4 linked regions of the Drosophila melanogaster genome follow. The protein of the gene in region 2 interacts with the protein of the main gene of each other region in a pairwise test. Each region holds a gene or a part of one and is shown on either strand. Other genes may lie near its edges.

What was found.
Region 1: the proteins of CG33155 (region 2) and CG8128 interact in a two-hybrid assay, tested with the Drosophila melanogaster proteins (one large-scale study listed by BioGRID).
Region 3: the proteins of CG33155 (region 2) and CG6479 interact in a two-hybrid assay, tested with the Drosophila melanogaster proteins (one large-scale study listed by BioGRID).
Region 4: the proteins of CG33155 (region 2) and CG10444 interact in a two-hybrid assay, tested with the Drosophila melanogaster proteins (one large-scale study listed by BioGRID).

What each region holds. Positions count from the first base shown.
Region 1 is NC_004354.4:15,695,163-15,700,742, reverse strand, and holds CG8128 (uncharacterized protein), read right to left. Parts: upstream 3,250-5,580; 5' UTR 3,080-3,249; intron 2,711-3,079; exon of another isoform or gene 2,421-2,710; 5' UTR 2,223-2,420; coding exon 2,056-2,222; intron 1,984-2,055; coding exon 1,862-1,983; intron 1,582-1,861; coding exon 878-1,581; 3' UTR 709-877; downstream 1-708. Other genes in the region: CG9240 (uncharacterized protein), read left to right, coding at 1-337.
Region 2 is NT_033778.4:13,951,922-13,956,411, reverse strand, and holds CG33155 (uncharacterized protein), read right to left. Parts: upstream 2,218-4,490; 5' UTR 2,113-2,217; coding exon of another isoform or gene 1,967-2,112; intron 1,915-1,966; exon of another isoform or gene 1,726-1,914; coding exon of another isoform or gene 1,605-1,725; exon of another isoform or gene 1,551-1,604; intron 1,496-1,550; coding exon of another isoform or gene 1,368-1,495; intron 1,198-1,367; coding exon of another isoform or gene 1,004-1,197; 5' UTR 996-1,003; coding exon 813-995; 3' UTR 748-812; downstream 1-747. Other genes in the region: mRpL53 (mitochondrial ribosomal protein L53), read right to left, coding at 1,004-1,197, 1,368-1,495, 1,967-2,112; AGO1 (Argonaute-1), read left to right, coding at 1,605-1,725.
Region 3 is NT_037436.4:17,336,027-17,341,430, forward strand, and holds CG6479 (uncharacterized protein), read right to left. Parts: upstream 3,237-5,404; 5' UTR 3,154-3,236; coding exon 3,131-3,153; intron 3,111-3,130; exon of another isoform or gene 3,086-3,110; coding exon of another isoform or gene 3,075-3,085; coding exon 2,770-3,074; intron 2,711-2,769; coding exon 2,103-2,710; intron 2,047-2,102; coding exon 1,717-2,046; intron 1,658-1,716; coding exon 1,295-1,657; 3' UTR 1,146-1,294; downstream 1-1,145. Other genes in the region: CG13727 (uncharacterized protein), read right to left, coding at 4,253-4,767, 4,897-5,290.
Region 4 is NT_033778.4:20,270,283-20,276,031, forward strand, and holds CG10444 (uncharacterized protein), read right to left. Parts: upstream 4,218-5,749; 5' UTR 3,957-4,217; coding exon 2,975-3,956; intron 2,918-2,974; coding exon 2,136-2,917; 3' UTR 1,371-2,135; downstream 1-1,370. Other genes in the region: CG8908 (uncharacterized protein), read left to right, coding at 323-503; CG11788 (uncharacterized protein), read left to right, coding at 4,409-4,446, 4,506-5,645, 5,704-5,749.

The sequences.
Region 1 (5,580 bases), on a different chromosome or scaffold from region 2:
GAAACACTGGCGAACCTACCAGCCCGGCGACATAGTCATCGCCATATCGCCCATCAAAGCCGATCAGTTCATTTGCAAGCGTATCGTGGCCGTTTCCGGTGATCAGGTGCTAATCCAGAAGCCCATTCCCATTGAGGCGGAGTTTAGTGGTAATTCGGATGACAAGAAGAAGCCCGTGATGGTCAAGGACTATGTGCCGCGCGGACACGTTTGGATTGAGGGTGACAACAAGGGAAACAGCTCGGATTCCCGCTACTACGGACCCATTCCGGTGGGCCTCATCCGGAGCCGCGTGCTCTGCCGCATCTGGCCGATATCCGAGGCCACGGGTCTATAGATGGCATTCGTACAACAAAGAGTTTAAAATCAACTTGACCCAATAAATGGCCTATGTTTCGTTTGGAAATTATAGTACATCAAACCACAACTTTTTAGAATCATTACGTATGCGAGTTTCGTCTCATTTGTGCGACTTCTGGTTTTTGCATATCATTGAAAATAAGTTGAAAAAAACAGGAGAGAATAATAATTTCTTTTCATTTTTGTTTTTAATAAACATATTTTTCAAAGTATGAAGCTTACATCCTTAATCCTTATTGGCTTACCTTCTAAGGAAGTATTTACCATGTTTGGGCGTCATATTCAAAATAATGCCATATTTTAAATTATTGGCGTTTCTAAAAATGGTATCAAAAGAAAAGCTTTTGTAAAAGGCTGTGTGAGCTTTAATTGATATATGCATATAATTATATACAAAAAAATTCATTTATTGACTACATTGTGAACATTTGAATGCGCAGTTGTGATGCTGCTGGCTTTTGGAAGAAAGGACTTTATAAAAATTGCACTAAGGATTTGGCCATTGCACCGACAAGTCTCACGAATTCTTTTTATCCTGCTGCTCCTGTGGCTGCTCCCGATCCACGTAATACAGATTGTATTTCTTCTTTAGCACCTGATGCACTTCGTCGCGACAGGTGAGGGTCAGGCCGCGCTTCTGGTAGTCCAAAAAGGTGCAGACGAACTGCCTGTTCGTCTCGTGGACCTGCGGATGCTTCAGATACTCCGCGATGGGCATCCACTGGATGCGCGCTATCTCGCGTTCGCAGCGCGTAAAGTCCAAATTCAGTGGCTTTAGGGCGATGACCACGTACATGTCGGAGCAGCCGAAGGTGCCGCCATGGGCATGCCGCAGACTGACCACTGAGCGGAATTCGGTGCGGATTCCCGTCTCCTCGGCCACCTCTCGTATTGCCGCATCGATGAGATTCTCCCGCGGCTCCACATAGCCGCCGGGCAGCTTCCAGCTGTTTGGTATCATTGCAAAACGATCGGACACCACCAGCACCTCGTCCTGTTCGTTGATAACCAGTCCGCCGACGCCCATTAGCGTGTGGGCGTAGGTGGGTAGGTTGCTAGACTCGTGCTCCGGCAACCAGCGGTACATGACCACCACACCGGTCTTGGCATGATGGAAATCAAAGCCGTTCTCCGCCAGAATGGGCACCCAATCAGCCTGCTCCTTGTACACGCGGAACCAAATGGCCCGGTTCTTGTTCGTCGTCCAAAAGTCCAGGGATTCTAAAAGGTATTTCGTTATTAATATAATTTGGTAATTGGTGACACAGATTTAATTAAAATTATAAGCCGTTTATTGTCTATGACTATTTATAGTCATAGACAACTTTTAAATTGATAAAAGTGGAGAGCAATGATTTTGGAAATTTAATTTAGTACCCCAACTTTAGATAGATAAACTTTTAATCAACTTATGATAGCACGAAGACTTAGAAGATACAATGATACAAAAAATATACGTCCAGGCAAAGATACCGACATATTTTAAGATATATATTCTTACTTGTGAGCTTGTCCCGGAAACTGGATTTGTCCACGTTCTCCTCGCGCCCATCGACTGTTACTCCGGCAAATCGATCCGTAATGCCGCGGAATACATCCGCCGGCGTGTCCATGGTTTTGGAGCTAAATCGTGGGATACAAATAGTTTTCAATCATGTGTTAAATACATATGTATGTACATCTTTCAATTCTTACGACGAGTATGCTCTTGTAAATTGCTGCTGTGACTGAAGCTTTAATGGAACTCTGGCGGCAACCGTGGATGTGGGTCGTTTTCTAGCGGTCCGGAGGAGTGTGCTCCATGAATTGAACGCCGGCTGGTTAAGTACGGTTCTGCGAGCCAGAAAACCGGTGGCCAACATTAAATAATCTCACAGTTCGACGAACACAACGTTGTTGATGACGACGACGGCGATCGACCACGTTGGCGTCACTACTAGTTCGCAACCGGAGATCTGGGTGCTGTCCGCTTGGTGGGCGTGGCGGAGGCGGTGGCGGCGACAACGACTTTACCGTCTCAGTTTATCCACAATGCGAGGTGAAGCCAATTCCTGGGCATGCTGTGTGTGTGTGTGAAACGAGGCAAACAGACAGGTGAAAGAGGTGAAATAGCCGCATGGCTCCAAACAACGATGCAAATCTGCTGCGATGGGCGGAGCAGAGCGAGACGGAGGAGCAGGTTGCCACTATCTGCCGCCGTCGCTAGATAAGCGATATGGCCGCTGTTACGTTCGGATTTCTGTTCTTGACATTTCGAATTTGGCGCTAACGTCAGTAACAAATAGTGGCGATAGAGATGCGCAGAACAGTGTGACTTTGACAGAAAACCGGTGACATGAGTATAATGAAACTAAAATATAGATTCAACTGAAAGTATCACTATATATGTACATATATATAAAAAACTGTGTTATCACTATACTAATACTAATACTAATATTAATGGCAATCACGATAGCAGTCACTGCTTCCTGCTCATCTCTAGCGCAACCTTGAGCGACAACCCAAGGTGCGTGTGGGTGGTGGGTGGCGGTGTTGGGGTGTGGGGTCGTTTCAATTGTTTCCGCATGGGTTTTGTGTTTGTTTATCAACTGAATTGCTGCTGTTATCAACGCGCCAGAGAATTGATACGCGTTTTACATAACAAACCAAGCCAAATATATTTTTTTTTATTCCATATCTGCGCTAGAATAGAACATTGTGTGGAACTCGAACTCACTAGAAAAGTCAATGGCTAATGGTGTCACTGAGCCAATCCGTCCAGTTCCTCCAGACGACTAATTACAGATCCGATCCAATGTAGCCATGGACTTTGGCATAAACAAGCGAATAGAGCAGCGCGCGATTTCAATTCGCTTCCACTTCCACTAGCACGTTAATTTCTAGGGATGGCGCGCACACAGAAAAGTCAGTCAGCTGATCCGGCAGTGCTGCCAGCCTGGCTAGAAAAAGCTGTTCAGCCTTATATGTAATGGTTAAAAATCAAATATGAGCAAACCAACATTTTTTAAATATATGGCCTCCGGAACAATTTATTAAATCTTGAAATAGCTAATATGGGTTATATAAGTTACTGGCTAGCGGCTTGGCTAATATATCGAATGTTTCCATCCTTTAGATGGCCAAAAGAGCTTAAGTTCGCTGGTCGTCGGCTTCGTTGCGGGAAAATTCGCTGCTGTCATCGCTATTTATCGCGCTCTTGGTATGCGTGCAGTCCTTCCTACAATAATATAGTAATAGTCACAGTCAATGCCAGGAAGGACAATGCTGCATAAGTAGTAGCATAAGTAATGATTAATTCAATTGGGAAATTTTTGATGAGTACGCAAAACATCTAACGCTATTCTAATAAGAAATGCGACCAGCTTTAGAATTAACATTCTGATTAGCAGAGGGTTGAAGTCGTTCTTAAAGACGGCTAAAAGTAGACTACAAAATATTTAAATGCAAGAGGAATTCAATAATCCTAGAACTTAAACTAAGCTTTTCAAATTTGAATGGAAATGTGGAATAAATACCGTATATGTAGCATTCGATGCCGATCTCCTAGTCTCTATCTCTAATCGGTTCGACGTGGCCACGTTCGGCCAGATGCAGCAGATCCTCGATGCCCTGCCTGCGGAGCATGCGGCGATGATTCTTGAAGAACGATATCACCTTCTTGGACTGTGGAGCCCGCATCCGTCTCTTGACCGTCATCGTTGGTCATCTTGGAGCTACTGTTCCATTTTTAATTTTTTCGCCTTTTTACTTTACTTGAATACGAAAAGAAACATATCTGTATAAATCGTTTTAATAGGCCAATAGGTGCCTTCAAATTCTATAGTTGAGATCCTTTGAAACTTTATTTTCATATATAACTAAATATCCTCTTTGGCTGCGCGCCCAGTTTGGCCCATTTCTCTCCTCTTCACTTATTTTATTTTATTTAATTTGATTTTTTTTTTTTGAAATCGAAATAGTTGCGCAATTGAGGGCGAGTCCTTTGTGCGAGTCCAGTGATTTGGAAAGGGCTATTTAGAGCAACAAAGCGCCAGCGACCAGGAATCCTGGGGAATCAGGAACCAGTTAGCAGTTTAGAGCGCGATTGAAGGGATTACGAGTAGAAAGGATCGTAAATGTGTTGCGAAATGCACATTTAAACCGTGACTCACCAGGGGGGTGGTAGTTGTGTGTGTGTGGGGGGGGGAGGTGTGTGTGTGTGTGTGTGGTGGTATGTCCTTGTGCCATAAATTCAGGTGCTTCAGTTGGACAACAATGGTACTCGTTGAGTTTCGCCTGATGTTTGTATTTTGATTGCCGGCTTAGCAATTTTCAATTTCTTTTTGTTTTTTGGGGGGGAAATTCCCAAAAAAAAAAAAATATGCGAAGAGGGAGTACATAAAAAAGTTACCCCTCTCCAGCGGGCGATATTTGCTCAGTTGTTTAAACAAATTTTCCGCTTAGGGTTGCTAACCAACCTCCTGTTTGCACACAATGGATTTCCATGCCGTGGCTTAAGTGAAAATGCCATCTCAAATATTTATTAAAAAATCTATGGCTGTTTGGGGACACGTACATATACACACATATATATATATATATATATCTATTTTCCATCGCCGGCTTATCGAAAACTTCAACTCCAATGTCGAAGTTGGTGGAAAATCGGGGTTATTAGGTTCCCAGGCGCGATCTTCGTCAACCCTTTTCTTTGTATTTCCTTCACTATTTTGCGCGCACCCGGAAAATTCTTGTTTGTAATTAGGGAGTTTTCCTTATCATTTATACCCGTAATGCCCTCGGCATTCAGCATTGTTTCGCCGCCAATTAAGCGTAATTTCAAGTGTCCCGTTCTCGTATTTGTCTAATAAAAGTTTGAAAAACTCCTAGGAAAACTGGTTGGGTTCGCTAACGAACTGTTTATATTCAGACAATGGTTTGGAAATTGAAATAAATTAACGTCGATTTTTCCCCATTTCCAGTCGGTGGGTGTGTGCCTTTGCCAGCTGAAGGCATCAGGTTTTTCTTTTTATTTTTTCTTTTTTTTTTGTCACAGTGCATAAGCTTTATTCGAATGAGTAAACGGGTAATGAGTAATATTTTTTTGTTGGATTTTTCACTGAAGGCGTGACAAGCGGAAAATTAACTACTATTAAGCCATTTTCACACCCCCTTCAGCCAGCGCATTTTCACGAAACTGTATAATCTATATGACTGGCTTAACTGGTAATTACTTTA
Region 2 (4,490 bases):
ACAGGCGGGGAGAAAGCTTGCAGCCTGACATTGAACTTGGGGGCACTCTGAACAGAATTCTATTAATCACAGGGTGCCGCAGCTTTTTGGGGCAACTTTCACCAACCATTTTTGCAGCTGCCACACTCCAACAGATTGTTGCCAGTTGCAGCCATCGATTTCGTCGCAAATACGTACATATTCACACATTTAGAGCGCGCCATTTCAAAACTTTAGCTCAAAGCTTGAACTGCACAGTGCACTTTCTTCCTTGCTCCCCCATTAGAATAAGACTTCAATTCATCTCAACAGCTGTCTTGGCAACAGAGAAGCTTTCTCCACTGCCTGTTGCATCCTTGTTGTCATTACAAGAATGCAGATGATCATTCACTTGGAGCAGTAACAAATTAATGCCACAATTCATGAACAAGTCTGTAGTGGTCCACCCCAGCCACGTCCACCGTCCACTTTGCATGGCCCATTTGGTCGACTTCCTGCGGTCCAATTACCATTGGCTCCTCCCGCCCCATTGTGATTATAAGCTTTGGGACGGCAGGCGGCTCTCCGATCCGCTGACATCAGCAAGCGCAGCAAACAGCAGCCGCTGCAGCAGCAGCAGGAGCAGATGATTTTCCGGTTTGCCAGGGACCGAAAAACTGGTTTCGAATGGCGAAAAAAAAATGAAACAAACGACAGGCTGACCGAATCGAATCGAGCGCTGCCCTTTTGCACAGTCGGGCCAAAAAGACAATACAGTGCGGAGTGTTTGTTACATGTTAGAGCGTATATATATTTTGAAAAGTACGTGTGCGGAATTGAACAATACAATTGGCTTAGAAATCGACGGGCTTGATGGTGATGAACCGGGAGAGAATGAAGGCCACCAGAATGGTGGCGCACACGAAACAGAAGGCGAACATGTAGAAGCTCTCCTCGGTGAAGATGTCGGAGAATGCGGGTATATCCTGGTAGATCTTCTCGATCACCGCCAGTGTTCCTTTGTGCTTCCTCACCATCCTGATGGTTACTTCTTCTTGGTTGCCTTCTTTCCGCCGCCGGCGCCTCCTGCTAGTTTCTGTTTCTCCGCCTTGGTCAGGACCTTGTTGGTGATCTCCTCGCGCGGTGCCAAGCTGGACACGTGCTTGTTGCACAGCTGCAGCAGCTCTAGTGTGTTTAGGTTATCGCTGTTGAAGCGGATCTCCTTGACTTGGGCTTGTTCTGTGAATGATATAATATCAATAAGTGTTTGCTCTTTGAATGTTGCAGTTTCAAAAGGGTTAACTTAGTTGCCCACGCTAAAAGGAAACCAATTTTTCAATACATATTTCATATGTATTTTGGTTCCTTTTAGTTAGATATTTCAGCTGTCCCAGTTTAGGTATTCTTACCTTGCGCTGAATCAATCAGGGCAAACTTGATGTTGGCCGGCTGGCGATCGCAGACGATTTCTGGCTTGACCACGCACTTGGGATTCGTAGCTGCCACTTTGGGTGTGGAGAGCAGGAAGAGGAATTCCCTGAAATTAGAATTGAAATAGATATCTAGATTATTGATTTATCATCACGATTTACTTGATTTTTCAGGAGCAGCGACGCCGCCTCAAACTGACGCCGACACCGACTAAAATGTCCACGGAGCGTGAGCTGGCTCCCGGTGGGCCAGCTCAGCTCCATCCGCACACGCTGCCGCTGACTTTTCCGGATCTCCAGATGACCTCCACCGTGGGCATCATTGGGAAAGTCTACGGTGAGTGTGGCACGCATTTATTTCATTCCCCAACCCCATCACCTTTTTAGCCCTCGAAGGATCGGTTTTTCTGGTGTGAATACTTCACTGCACCCTTTTTGGTTTTTCTCAGTTTCTTCTTAGTATGATTTTCTTTTTCCTTTCGGTTTCGTGAAAATTCTATCCAATTTGAGTGGTGAATAGGGGGTGTAGTGCGCATGTCCCGCTATCGATATCGGTGAAAAGCGCTTTTCCGACTCACCGTGTGGACTTGACATTTTCCGCGAATGGATCGAACTGCACGGTTATCCGCTTGACGCCCTTCAAATTCACGCTCTTCAGCTGCTTGCCAATGGCGGACACAATGCCGCCGGAACGCCGCAATGCGCCACTGAAAGGCACAGACATTATTTATGTTTTTTTCACGGCGGCAATGAAAACTCTGCGGTTTTTCCGCACAAAATTTACGACGTAACAAACACGCTACGTAACAGCTGAGCGACGATAGCGATAACGGGCCCACTCACGATGACCGCCGATGGTTGTACAACACTGGCATTAGCAACCCTGCCTCGCTATGCCCAGATGCTGCTTGTATAGTCATCTCGCTCACTCGCACGGCTGCGGGCGAGAGTGCTTTGCCCTCATTTAAGTGTGGTTAAGAGTGTACAGCATGCGTCACGCTCACACGTCGCGAGTACAATTTTTGTGTGGACGTCCAGTGTGTGGCTGCTGTGGGAAAAGCTGAAGAAAATTGCATTTTTTGCATAATGCGCGGCGTGAAAAGCTAACAAAAGTTGTGCTAAATCAAAATTCGATAGTCTGGCCACGGTTTGTGCATAAGAGCGGGCGGCGCGAACGTGTTTGGTGCACAAAAACCACGTCTCGAAAAATTAAGAATTCTACGTGCACACATTTTTTGGGCTGCCATATATAAAAAAAAAACGCATACAAACGCATTTTCTTGCTGTATATGCGGAGGAGCACACACACACACACAGAGCGACAGACACGCATACAATTGCACTCACGAGATATGCGAGCATAAAGAAGAATTTTTTCTTAGTTGTATTACAAGAGCATTAGATACATATATAAGTATATAAATATACATATATACACGCCTAGGTGTGTACATAAAAGATACATACATATAAAATTAAACGAAAGCTGTGCCTACATTTGTGTTCTTTTCCAATACTAAAATAACAACAACAAACAATAATAATAATAATAATAATCATACGAGTAATATAAATAAAATAATGCAAGTCGAGCGAGAGACAGCGACAAGATAGCACACCCACTTGTCTGCTCATAATTCCAATTTATATATAATAAGCCTACGCCACGCCCACGCGCAACTACAACAACAAAAAACAAAACAAATGCAAAATCAACCAAACGAATAAAACTTTAAACTACTTTAAAGTGTGATAAGCAAAAGGCTGAAATCAAAAACAAAAAAAAAAACAAAATAATTAGTAGAAAACCAAAAGCAAAGGCAACAACAAATACAACAACAACAAAGAAACAAACAATCAATTACATTTTACACCAAAACACGAAAAGCAAACACGAGCCAACATTTTTTACATTAATTATTTTTCTTAAACCAAAACCTAACTTAGTGCAAAAACATGTATCCAGTTGGACAACGTAAGTGGCTAGCAAATGATGATTGCGACTAAAAGAACAGACAGACAATTTCCAGACAGAACAAAAAGAAGAATACAAAAATAGGCGATTGCTGCCACAAGTTTCCCTCACACCATGCCACACAGCCCCCCAGCTCCCCTTCGCCCAGCCGCCCACTAATCAAGTTTTCGATGTTCTACTTGCACCTTTATGCATATACATATGTGATACATACACACGTGCAAATGCCACACAGACAGACACGTGCGTCAAAGTGCAGAGTTGAAAATGCGCAAAAATTGGGTCAACAACCTTCGTCGCGTCGCAATAGTTTCCAGCTTTTACGGGGGTTAATCTCTGGCGTCTTTTTTGGGGCCTGCGTCTCGAATTTATTCGAATTCGGTTTCGTATATGGATCTGGGTTTTTTTTGAAGAGCAGTCACTCCCAATTGCGTCGCAATTTGCCACCAATTGTGCGTATTTCATTTAAATATTTATGCTTCAATGGGGTGAAAACGTAGAAGTCGTCGAATATGAAAAGAGTTTGCTGGGGAAGGAAGGGATCGTCGAAAAATATGATTCTTTTGTTTGAAATCTGAATATATTTAATGGGATCTTACCAACAGCGATTGTTGTTTATGCCAGAGAACTTCAAAATAGGTACCCTTTTCCAATATCATATGTCATATTTTTTTTATCACAATAAACAACATCATGGGATTATAATCTATAAGCGCTAGAATCTTTGTATTATATATACCAGTATTGTGTAGATTTGGTTTAAAGATAATGATTTAACTATCAGTTAATTAAGCATACAGTTTAGATAGGTGGTCGAAGCACTTGGTAGAACATCAAAACTTAAACCACCTGCAAAGGAACCCAGGGAACAAGGATGATATAACTGCAAAATATTAACAAAATGGTGGCTAACGCGGGACTTGCATACAAATCAAATAACCAATCGACCTACTAAGTAACTGGACAAAGGGGCAAACAACTTGTGGCAGCAGGTGGCATACAAACTCTATAAAGATACTATATACAAATATAAACGGAAATACACACACATATACATACATATTATATATATATATATATCTATTGATAACGACGATGAAAGAAAACTGTAACTAAAATATTATTAA
Region 3 (5,404 bases), on a different chromosome or scaffold from region 2:
CATTCAACGAGAGTGTGAGACGATTGCCAATCGAATTTAATGCGCATTTATTTTTAAAGTGCCATCAGCTGGGAACACACAATCCGCCCAGCCACCACCCATCAAAGAAGGCTTCTTTTGTCAACAGCAGGGTATTAGGAGGAGAATCCGCCCGAAACCCAGCCACCACCCACTCGGGAGCAACCCAGCGAGCCGCACTAATCAACACAATTACGAAGCAGTCGAAGGAAAACTTTTCTAATTGGATATGAAGACGCGCACATGCGTTTCTTTAAAGGAATTTTACTCAAGCAGGCGAGGGTCCAAATATTGTGACAAGAAAATGGCTCGGCACAAGGAGATACTAACGTTCCACGCTCCAAGTTCCAACTCCAATTCCCATCTTAGGCATCGCGTCTCCCGACTCCGCGGCTGAAATGCTTTGACAAATTATTTTTAAGCCAATTTACAACTTGAGAAAAAGTATCAGGAAAACATATCACTCCACACACACACACACACACACACACACACACAGGGTGTGTGGTTCGCTTCGGTTCGGTTGGGTGGCTGAGTGTGTGTGTTTGTGTAGGTAAAGCAAATATAATGCGAGGGATAAAAGTGTAAAGTTGACAACCCAGGCACATTACTCACCCGAGGTGCCAGCCATCCAGCCATCCGGGCATCCGGGAGTATGGGCGGCATTAAAATAACCAGCCAACCGATTCAACGTCAAGCCAGAGCCCAGAAATGAGCATGGCCAAGAGAAATGGTAATGTGACTGGTCGAGAGGGCCCAGGTCCTGCTCGTCCTGGCGCCTGCTTTAGGGGTCTCCGTTTGCGACTCCTTCATTTTGCACTACTTTGGAGCATTTTCTCAATGTCTCTCACTCGACAAAATGTCGACAGCGTCGGCGGAAACCATTAATTTTGTCACTTTCGGAAGTGCAAAGTGGCGAGCATGTGGGAGCATGTCGCTGGCCGAGCCAATGGCCAGGTCACCAACTGGCTGGTCAATAGTGAGAATCATGAAAGGGCAATTAAAGTCGGGCACCTGTGTGCACATATCCGCGAATATAGCTTACCGCCGACTGCCAAACAAGTTAATTGCACAGACCGCAGGCCACACGACACTTGATAACCGCGAAACCACAACAGTCGTAAGTTGGCTTAATAATTACAAATGTATAATTTCATAGTAACGAATGATGAGGATTGTCCAGTCACCAAACGCTAGTCGAGTCACAAAGGATCATGCTTAGAAGTAAGGAGTGATTAGGGGTGGGATTAAAAGTCATAGCCACTAGTTCCACTGTTCAGTCTTCGATGACGCACATGATGTTGATACCACTTTTGCCAAGATTTACGCACTCCAGAGCAGAGTCCTGGTGCTGTCGCATATAAATTAGGAACTGTATGATAACGTAGAACAGGTTATTCCTATCGTAGACGCAGTTGTGTAGTTCTTTGTCGCTGATAAAGTTAAATTTAGGGTTAAGTGGGTTGCCGGTACTTAAAATGGCGCAGTGGGCCTTGTTGTGAACTGCGTTCACCACGTCCTTGGTCGAGCTCTTCTCGTCGCGAATTAACACGTAGCGGGAGTGAAAGGGTCGTCCGCCGCCCTGCGGCAACGGCATCAACTGGCTATCCAAGTACACGCAAAATAAATGGAATATTATCTGCAGAATGAGGTTACAATTAATCAAGAGTGCTCAGTTGCGGAATTTCGTATACTCACAGCTGCATCGGTGGGCAAATGCTCGTCCCGCTGCTGACCGTTGTGTGTTTTGCCCGAGTACCAGCGGTAGTCAGCTATGCAAGAGCCCTGCGCAAGCTCCTTGATGCGCTGCACCAGGTATTCCTGGTTGCTGAAGGTGTCCAGGAAAGGTAAGAGCATGGGCAACATGGGCGCACACGTCTGCACGAACTGCTGGTTCTCGGCTGTTTTGCGTAATCTCTCTACACTCACAGATCCAATTTTAATGTCAATCAGAGCTCGCTGGCGGAAAACATCGTCCACATAATTGATCTCTTTGACCAAACGCTGAAGTATGGTCGTAGAAATCCACTAGAAAATGGTAAGACATTAGTACGTTGCAGTGGAATATTGAACGGGATGCTTACAAATCTTAGGTTGGCCACATATTGCGACAGTTTGTCCGTGGATATGCGCTTGATGACCTCCGAATTGCTGTCCCTAAACTGAATACCGCCAAACTCCTCAATCGAGGTGGGAGCATTTTCCGTAGAAACAGCCGGAGGTGGCGATAGTTGATAGATGGTGGTCTTGAGCATATAGGCCGCATTGTTGCAGTAGTTCCAGAAGGAGTTGGCCGATCCCATGCTCTGCACATTGGGTGTATCCGAGCTGTCCATCATGCTGCGCTCCCGATCCGCCTGCTTCATTAGACTGGTCAACTTTCGTGTATCGGTCATGAAGTCATCGCGTCGCACCTCCGCATACGGGGACATATAGGTAGACTCGTTGCTCAGATTGCTGGCATTCAGCGAGTTGTTTCGAACCATCGAGGAGTTGTAAGAGGTGTTTTGTTTCGTCTGCTGCGGCGTCCTTGTGGGACTGGGGCTGCGGCGCATGGATTGCGAGCCCCAGCAGGAGTCCTCGAAGGAGGAGTGCCAGTTGATGATGGGTATGTCGTCCTCTATATCGCTATCCGGTTCGTAGCTGCGTGGTTTCATCACGGCTCGGGAGCAAACTGTACGAAAAGAGTTCTCTATAGGAATAAAAGTGGTTAAGTGGATGCGTTAGAACGGGTTCCTTTGGATTCCTCACCTGCCTTGCCATCAAGCAGCCACTTTTGGATATCGCTACCCGTAACTTGGTCACCACCAAACCATAACCACAAATACTTGCCGAAGCAGGCGAGTGCACTTAGGCCAATCAGGGTCGTAATGGTGCACTCCGCCAGGAACCAGTAGGTCCTGTAGGCGGACCGACATGCCTGCCAGAGGTCGAAGAGGAGTAGCGACAGCAGCACCACATTTATGGAGCACCACTTGAGGTAATGCCGCGCTTGGGCGCCCTGCAATCGCAAGTCCAGGCTGCGCTGCACCACTGGGTTTTTACTCAGCGGCGAGCTGAGGAGCATTCATGGGTTAATTTTCTGAATTCTACACTAGTTTCTGTCACTTACCAATTAGTCCGTGTAAAATTCATTGCCTACTATGTGATAATTATTAGAAAATCACCTGAATAGGTCGAAAATGCCGGGAAAACTTGTTTGTAAGTGATAGCACAGACAAAAAGTTAGAATACCACAAGGTCAAAAAATAAATACCGTTTGGAATGAAACGCGTTATGTACTTTGTTGGCTCAAGATACCTTAGCGGAGACACTTTCCCTAGCGAAGACACACACCTATCGGCGATGTTTTCTTTGGTATGGATCAATATCCATGATATCATATTTTTTAATAGAACTAAAATTATTTTTATGATTTTTAAAATGATTTTTTGTTTATCCGAATGTTTAAAGCTATTCACCCACTCTAAACGTATTACTTATCAGCAACTTTTAATTTATCATTTAAATGCAGTGTTTTATAATATTTTTTAGAGTAGTTATAAAATTAGCTGTTTTTTAAACAAATTTTTTCTCTATCTTCAATATATTATGACATAAGCCGTACAAAACCGAAGACTCAACAATTTTGCAACATTTATGAGGACGCTAAAAAATTCCTTAATTTAATTTAATTTAGTTTGTTTTTAATGATATAAAATAACTTTTAATTTATTTCATTCCCTAAGTAAATTGTATATAATTGTGTACACATGCAACTAAATGTGTATTCTCAATAACTTAAAAATATTTTAAAATAAATATTTATAAAATATAACTTTTTTGTTTAAAAATTATACATTCCTTAGCGCACTGGGATGACTGGGGCTCGTCCGGGAATTGAACCCGGGACCTCTCGCACCCGAAGCGAGAATCATACCTCTAGACCAACGAGCCGGTTTGAACCTCAGTCGACTAATTACGCAATCTAATGTAAAAAAAAAACTTACATATAGCCATTACAAAAGGTTCCACAAGTCACTTAAAATTACGTTATCTTATTCTCTCCATATAGACAACTAATTATTAGGCTCTCGTAGCATTAGACCCTTAATTTAAATTATTTAAATTATTAAAATTATTTAAATGCCATCACTGACTTTAAATAAAAAACACGCTTGTAACTATATGATATATTAAAAATAATATCTTATATATTGTTTCCTGATTTAATACATTTTCGAGAGGACGGTACTTAGATAGAGCTATTCAGTTTTGCATCAGTATTCCCTGATCGTAAAGCCCGCTTCACTGCCCTTCTTCTCCTTCTTCGTTTGCCAACGACTGTAGGTCCGACACCCACTCCCACACCGATCCCCGGAACAGGAGCTAGTTGCAGCAGGAGAGGATTACTGACCAGGGCGGCGGCGATGCCCAGAACGGTGGCACTGGCCAGCGGAATCAGGAAGCTTTTGGCCAGCAAGGCCTTTGGTGAGATCTCTGGCGATCCCTTGTGGGAGACTATCTCGTGGGAGTCGATGGGGTAGGAGCTGTAGGAGTAATCCACTGCTGGCCCCGGGTAGTGGCCATGTTCGGGTCGAGGTCGATAAACGTGGTATGGCACCCCTGCCTCTCCGCTGGAGGAGTAGGTGTGCCCAGGAGCAGGTCCTGGCTCATAGCCATGTCCGTTGGATGGTCCGTAGTCATACTGATAAGGTTGACTGTCATAGGCGTAACTTTTGCCAGCACTTCCACTGCTGCCATAATGCCCTTAAATAGTATTAAATATATTTTTAATGAAATCTACAATAAACAACAGTCATCAATTTCAAATATTAATCATTTTAAGTTTGAGTTTATCTTTGTAGAATATATAGATTGAGTAATCTTTGAACTCACCCACGCTTATTCGATCGTGTATATTCCCACCTAGTTTCCACTTATCATAGGCCTGGCTAAGGTTATCATTTAGGTCACTAGCTTGGGAGCCATGAGCTCCTCCAAAAGGCGGCAGCGCACCAATGGGCTTGGATATGAAGCCAGCTGCAGTGCTATCCAACTTGGATGACGATGAGCCCGGTCCGCGGTAGAACTCCGGGGGAGGATCGTAGCTCTTGGCTACTGCGGAGCCCACGGGGTCCAGTTTCACGATAGCCTGTCGTTTCCGCGGCTGCATGGGCTGCCAGGACTCTGATTCCTTGGACGCGTTCTGTGCGGATGCGTGCGCTATGGTTAGAAGGAGACCGAGGCAAAGGCCAAAGGCCAAAAGTAACTTCCCTTGGGACGCGAACATGTTAACTGAGTGCGACGCCTGCAGACCGGCGGATTTTATATGGGTCCCGGTGTCGCCATGTCGTCATCTGGAGTGGGTGCCATTACAAGCGCTGGCGACAAATTGCAGTCCGAC
Region 4 (5,749 bases), 6.3 Mb from region 2:
ACCACTTGCAACAGCAGATTGAAATTTTCAATACACTAGTGCACGCACACAGATATCTACATAAACATTTGCTGCTCACTTTGGATGTGAATATGGTTTATTTACAAATAATATACTCATATATAAATAGTCTGGGCAAATCGCGCATACTGGCACAGAAATGAAAATAATCTTGTTTACGTTGTGTATAAGAAAGTCATGATTGATTAAAGGAAAGTTATTATGACCTTACATCTCAATCGAGCATAATAGTTATTGTAATTTATTTAAAGAGCTAAGAGTTGTATATATTTAATTAATTATAATTAATTGTTCCCCCCAGCGAGAAGTACTCCTACCGTGGCATGATCACCTTCTGCATTCCCAGAGGGCAGATTAAGTGGTCCGCGATCTTCGAGTACATGGAGAACTTGAAGGATGAGATGCAGATATTGTACTACTCGGTCAGCCATACAACTTTCCAGGATGTGTTCATGAAGTTTGTGAGGAAGCAGAATCAATAGAACCATAAATCTTCCCCAATGAATCACTTCAATGAATGCTATCCAAACGAAACCCTTATCGTATCAGCGAAACTATCTGTGAAAGCTTTGCTTCCGAATGCTAACAAATCGCCCAAATCATCTGTTGGCGTTGCAAAAATGAAGGCTAAACAATCATCAGTCGCCAAATTGATACTCTTATATGTAAATCTGTATGGTTATTATATTTTATGACGTTGCTAATGAATACAAATAAATGCCTTAAGATTCTTGTTGGTTAACATAAATATTGTTAAAAATAGTAAATCGCACACTAAGTTAGAGTAAACAAAAATCGGTTATGGCGTAACTATGTTATCCACCGCTTTTGGTCTCCTCTTTCGCCAGAACATTAGCCAAAAATGTGTGTCATGCGAGTCTATTCGTACTTTGAACTCCCAATCCGTTCTGAAAACTTTCCATGAGCAAGACGAGCGTGGTCTGGGTTTATTAATGATGTTTCGACAAATCTATCAATTGGCATTTGTTTACAGGCGAACCCATATTCACATGCTGACCCATGGCTTCTCCAATTTTAAGCAATTTGCTGTCTCCGACCCGCAATTAGACTTTGTTCCCGCATGGCGCAATAGTCAATTGGCAAAGGTAAACGCTTGAAAGTTATGGCATTCGTTCCGAAATAGATTCCTCATCGAGTGAGCAATGTTGGGAGAGCCTCGCATAACCTTGGTAGCTGATAGCGTACGAATTTGCTTATCGCAGGAAGTATTCGACAAATCGTGATTTCTGAAAAACACCCATGAGCCAACCGAAGTAATTATTTCAATCCAAGCTGCAGCTGGGGATTGCAAGTATCATGTTTCCGCAGCAAATAAAAAAAAAGGCAATCACATTTTGTAGAACAGATTTCTTTAATGATCAGCAGTTTGGCTTTTACAAATACACATAACTTTCACTGCTCCGAGTTATTGTTCAATGGTTGATTGCGACACGACACGAGTATATAATTAGTCTATAGTATATTTGTGTACATATAGTAGAGGTATATAAGTAAACAGAATTCACACTGTGGCGCAATGTAATGCTTTAAGAGCCATGTAGTAACTATTTATAGGCGGTGCTCACTGTAGTGTATTATTGTAATGTTATTATGTTATCTATGTATGCAAATATCGAGTAACTAAGAGGTATGAATATAAATATCCCATTAAAATTAGATGTACTACTAAATCAATAATTTATGTGGGGCATTGTGGCTGCCAATGCTCAACATGGGAAAGTAGTCGGCCAACTCGCTTTTAGGCTCCAAATTGATTATTGTCCCTCTGTAAAAGTTCATTGAGGTAGACTCCTACTTTTGATACGTTCTTGTAAAAAACATTTGACTATTCTTAAGAGGCCTCTTAATGATGCGCTTGTGAACATTTGCAACACGACTAATAACTACTAATTATCGTTGTTTACGTGTATATGGAAGACTCTGTTTTGGTCGCTCTGTATGCCAGTTTCGTTCACACAGGTATACAAAAAGGTCACATAGTTATGCACTTTTAGGTACGACATCCGTAACACGACTAACCAAATAGCCGACGCCTTCTGGAAATTCTTTTATATGTATGTATATATTCTACACTAAATCTAAGCCGGGCGGAACTACTGCTCAGTTAGTTTGGTGAGCGTTTCGTCCTGGGCAGTTTGGTCTTGTTCTTCTTTATGGCGTCGCCAGCGGCGGGACAGCATGGGTGCGAAGAGATCGTAGTCCAGCTGCTTCCGAGACTTGTCCAAATAGATTTCCGCGTTTTCTGCCTTTCCACAGTGAGCCAGCACAATGCTGCTGAAATAGCCGACGACCACGGCAATAAGAAAGCCGATGACGCTCAGCCACAAGTAAGAAATTCGATATAACCAGAAGTAGTCGGGTTCGATGACCACTCCGCTGCTCTTTGAGCTGAGCTCGATGGCACGCGCCATTACCGCGGTGGCATTCTCACAGCCCGCTGTGCTAAACTCCAAGGTAACTGGCTTTGGTTTGGGTCCGCCGAATCCCATCCAGAAGGAAACTATCAGGGAAACGAGGAAGCCAAGCAGCACGCCTCTTTGGTTGCTGCGTGTAGTGCAGACTCCCAGTGTGAAAATGGCCAGCAGCGGACCGCCTACCACACCGAAAATGGTAAGCGATGCCTGAAGAACTCCGCCCATGGAGCCAGCGACAAAAGCTAGACCGATGCAAAGCAGGCCAAAAATGCACGCCACAATCTTGGTGGGCATCGTGGACTTGGAGTCAATTAGCGTCCGTTTAAATATCGCCTTGTACAAGGGCTTCAGGTAATCCTCCAGTGTTACAGCCGACAGCGAGGTAACTGCCGACGAAATCGTGGAAAGACTGGCGGAGAATATTCCGGACACGAACAGACCACACAGTCCAGGATATTGACCTGCCGGAAAAAGAAATCAAATAATGCTAATTCTTATTGGATGTCTTTCCAACTCACCCATAGTCTCCAGTGCGAAAAGGGGCATGATCTGATCCCGCTTGTCGATGCGTCCCTTTAGCAAAGGGTCACAATCTCGATAATAGTAGAATATGGACAGTCCACTGAAAATGGTGCTAAAACTAAGCATTCCTAGGATGGGCAGGTTCCACCAAAGCGCCGACTGAGCGCTCTTCAAATTGCGGACACTCAGGAGTCGCTGTACTTGCGTTTGATTAACGCCATACAAGGAGAGGTAAGTGACCATGCCGCCAATGATCAGAGACCACCAAGTATGCCTCACGGTGGGATCCAATGAAAACTCAATGAAGTTCACGCGTCCTCGCTCCACAGCCACATCCCAGATGGCCGCGAATCCGCCGGCTTTAATGGCCGACACGGCAATCACGGCGTAGATGGCGGCAAACATGAGGAAGGACTGAAACACATCCGTGATGAGCACCGCCTTCAGGCCGCCAAGTGTCGAATAGAAGGTGCACACCAGTCCAATGACCACGATGGCCATTGACCGATGAATGCCGGTTACAGCTTCTAAAGCGAGCGCTGGTGCATAGAGTGCAATGCCCATGTAAAGCACCATTTGCACGGTGAAGGCCAGGGAGGCGGACAGCCGGGTGGCCTGGCCAAAGCGCCGCTCCAGATACTCGTACACACTGGTCGTCCGCATCCTGTAGAAAACAGGAAGGAAGAAGTACGCGGCAATGGGCGTACTCAGCACGTAGGCAATGTTGATCACACAGAAGATGGTACCAAATTCGTAGGACTCGTTGGAGACGCCCATCAGTGAGATGGCGGACATGAAGCTTGCCATCAGGCTGAAGGAGACCGGAAAAGTGGTCATGCTCTGGTCCGCCATCAGATACTCCTGTGTGGTCTTTTGCTTGCCGCCTGTATACCGGTAGTAGATGCCAATCAGAGCCGATATGACCAGGATGGTGATCAGCACGGCCGCATCCCAGGCGTCAAACGTTCCCACGGGCATGTTGTTGTTGACTGGATTCCGCTTGTCAGAGAACTGGAAGTTCGACGTCCGTCACTGGTCCGAATTGATTTTTCCACAAGCGTCACCACCAGCGGCGATTGGACGCTTCTCTTGCCCAGCAATGACCTTTGGCGCAGTCAACGCTTTCTAAAGTGCGCGTCCAAGTGCACGGCGAACGGCGGAAAACAAGACGCGTGCTCGCGAAATCTCCGCTCAAAAAAGAAACGTTCTTGCCGAGGCTACGACCGTTAAATAACTGATCAGCTGAGCGGTGAGTGTGCCCTTGCAGGGTGTGCGGATTAATGCTGTAATGTTTTCCAAGCACATTAAGCTTACATATTGAAAGGCCATTGAATACCCTCAACGAAAGCAACATTGCTGTGCTTTGGTCCCACTACTTTTTCCCGCTCATTGTTTTGGTTAATTTTTTGTTTTGTTTACATGCAGCGAACATGGAATCCATGGAGGTTGATGAGTCTGCTGCCCAGCTGTGAGTGCCTTTGGTATGCCTGCGTAGGAGTTATAATGTTACCCAACCACCCGCCATAGCTACGTTCGCACGCCGGAGGATGTGAAGGCCATTGTGAAGCATGCGAAACTGGACGAGCGCCAGTTGACCCAACTCACCCAGGCTCTGTACTTTCCCTCGGCGGACGTGGATTCGGACAATCTGCGCCTTCTGGAGCTCGATGGGCACATGCTTGGACAAATCCGCGACGGCCAGACGCTATATTTCAAGGGTGGCCAGAACGAGAAGCTGGTGCTGTGCACCGATGAGCGAACGTACGACGTGAAGGGCGCGGAAATATCCAATAGCCTTTTGCTGGTACCGGACCTCAAGTTTGCCGCCGCCACCAGCACCTCGCCGCTGAAGAGTCCGCGCACTGGCAACGCCAACGCCTCCCTGGAGCGCAGCCTCAATGACAGCACGGAGGATGAACTGGAAGTGCCGCGAACTCTGGAGCAGCGGCCGGTGCTCAAGGTGTTCCACGAGTACTTCGAGTGCCGCGAGATAAAGCCGCGCTTTCGCAAGCTGGGTGAACTACTGCAGCTGACTCGATATTCGGGGCCGGAGAACGAGTTCTGCGTGGAGCAGAAGCTACTCTTTACCTTTTCGCAGCTCCTGGACACGGTGCAGTGCAGCCGCGGTCAGTTCATGGAGGGATTGAACCAATATCGAGCCATAGAACTGGACGGGCGAATGCGCGTGATGGAGTACGAATACGAGTATCGCATTATTAACATGATGCTGGGTTTGATAAGCGAAAACTCCTGGGCCTTGGACGAAGTGGAACGGGAGGAGACCATCAATGCACTGAAGGGCATAGCTCCAGAGGATGTTGTGGCTGGGCTGTTTGATATCTATACCATTCCCAGTGAACGTTGCCCGGGCAAGTTTGAGTACCAGGAGTCCTTGGTCTCCCGCATTGTGGCACAGAACATTCTTCAGCCGGGTTTGCGCTTTCGCAACGAGGAGTTCATGCGCACCTGGCAGGAGGTACTGCCCGAGGGCATGTCCTGCGACTTAAAGTACCTACGAGGTCTGGGCATTTGCGACAAGGAGGGAGCGCAGCCTTGCATACGCTCCCTGGCAGAGGAGTTACTGCCCACCAATATAAGCGATCGCATGCGGGCGCTATTTAAGACTAAAAAGAGATGGACGATGGAGGAAATGGAACCGTACATAGAGTAAGTAATGATGAACACATATCTAGATTGTTTTTTTGATTTTCGGTTTTATAACTAGGTGCTTTACCACCCCAAACTTGTCCGTTTCCACACTATTGGCCAAG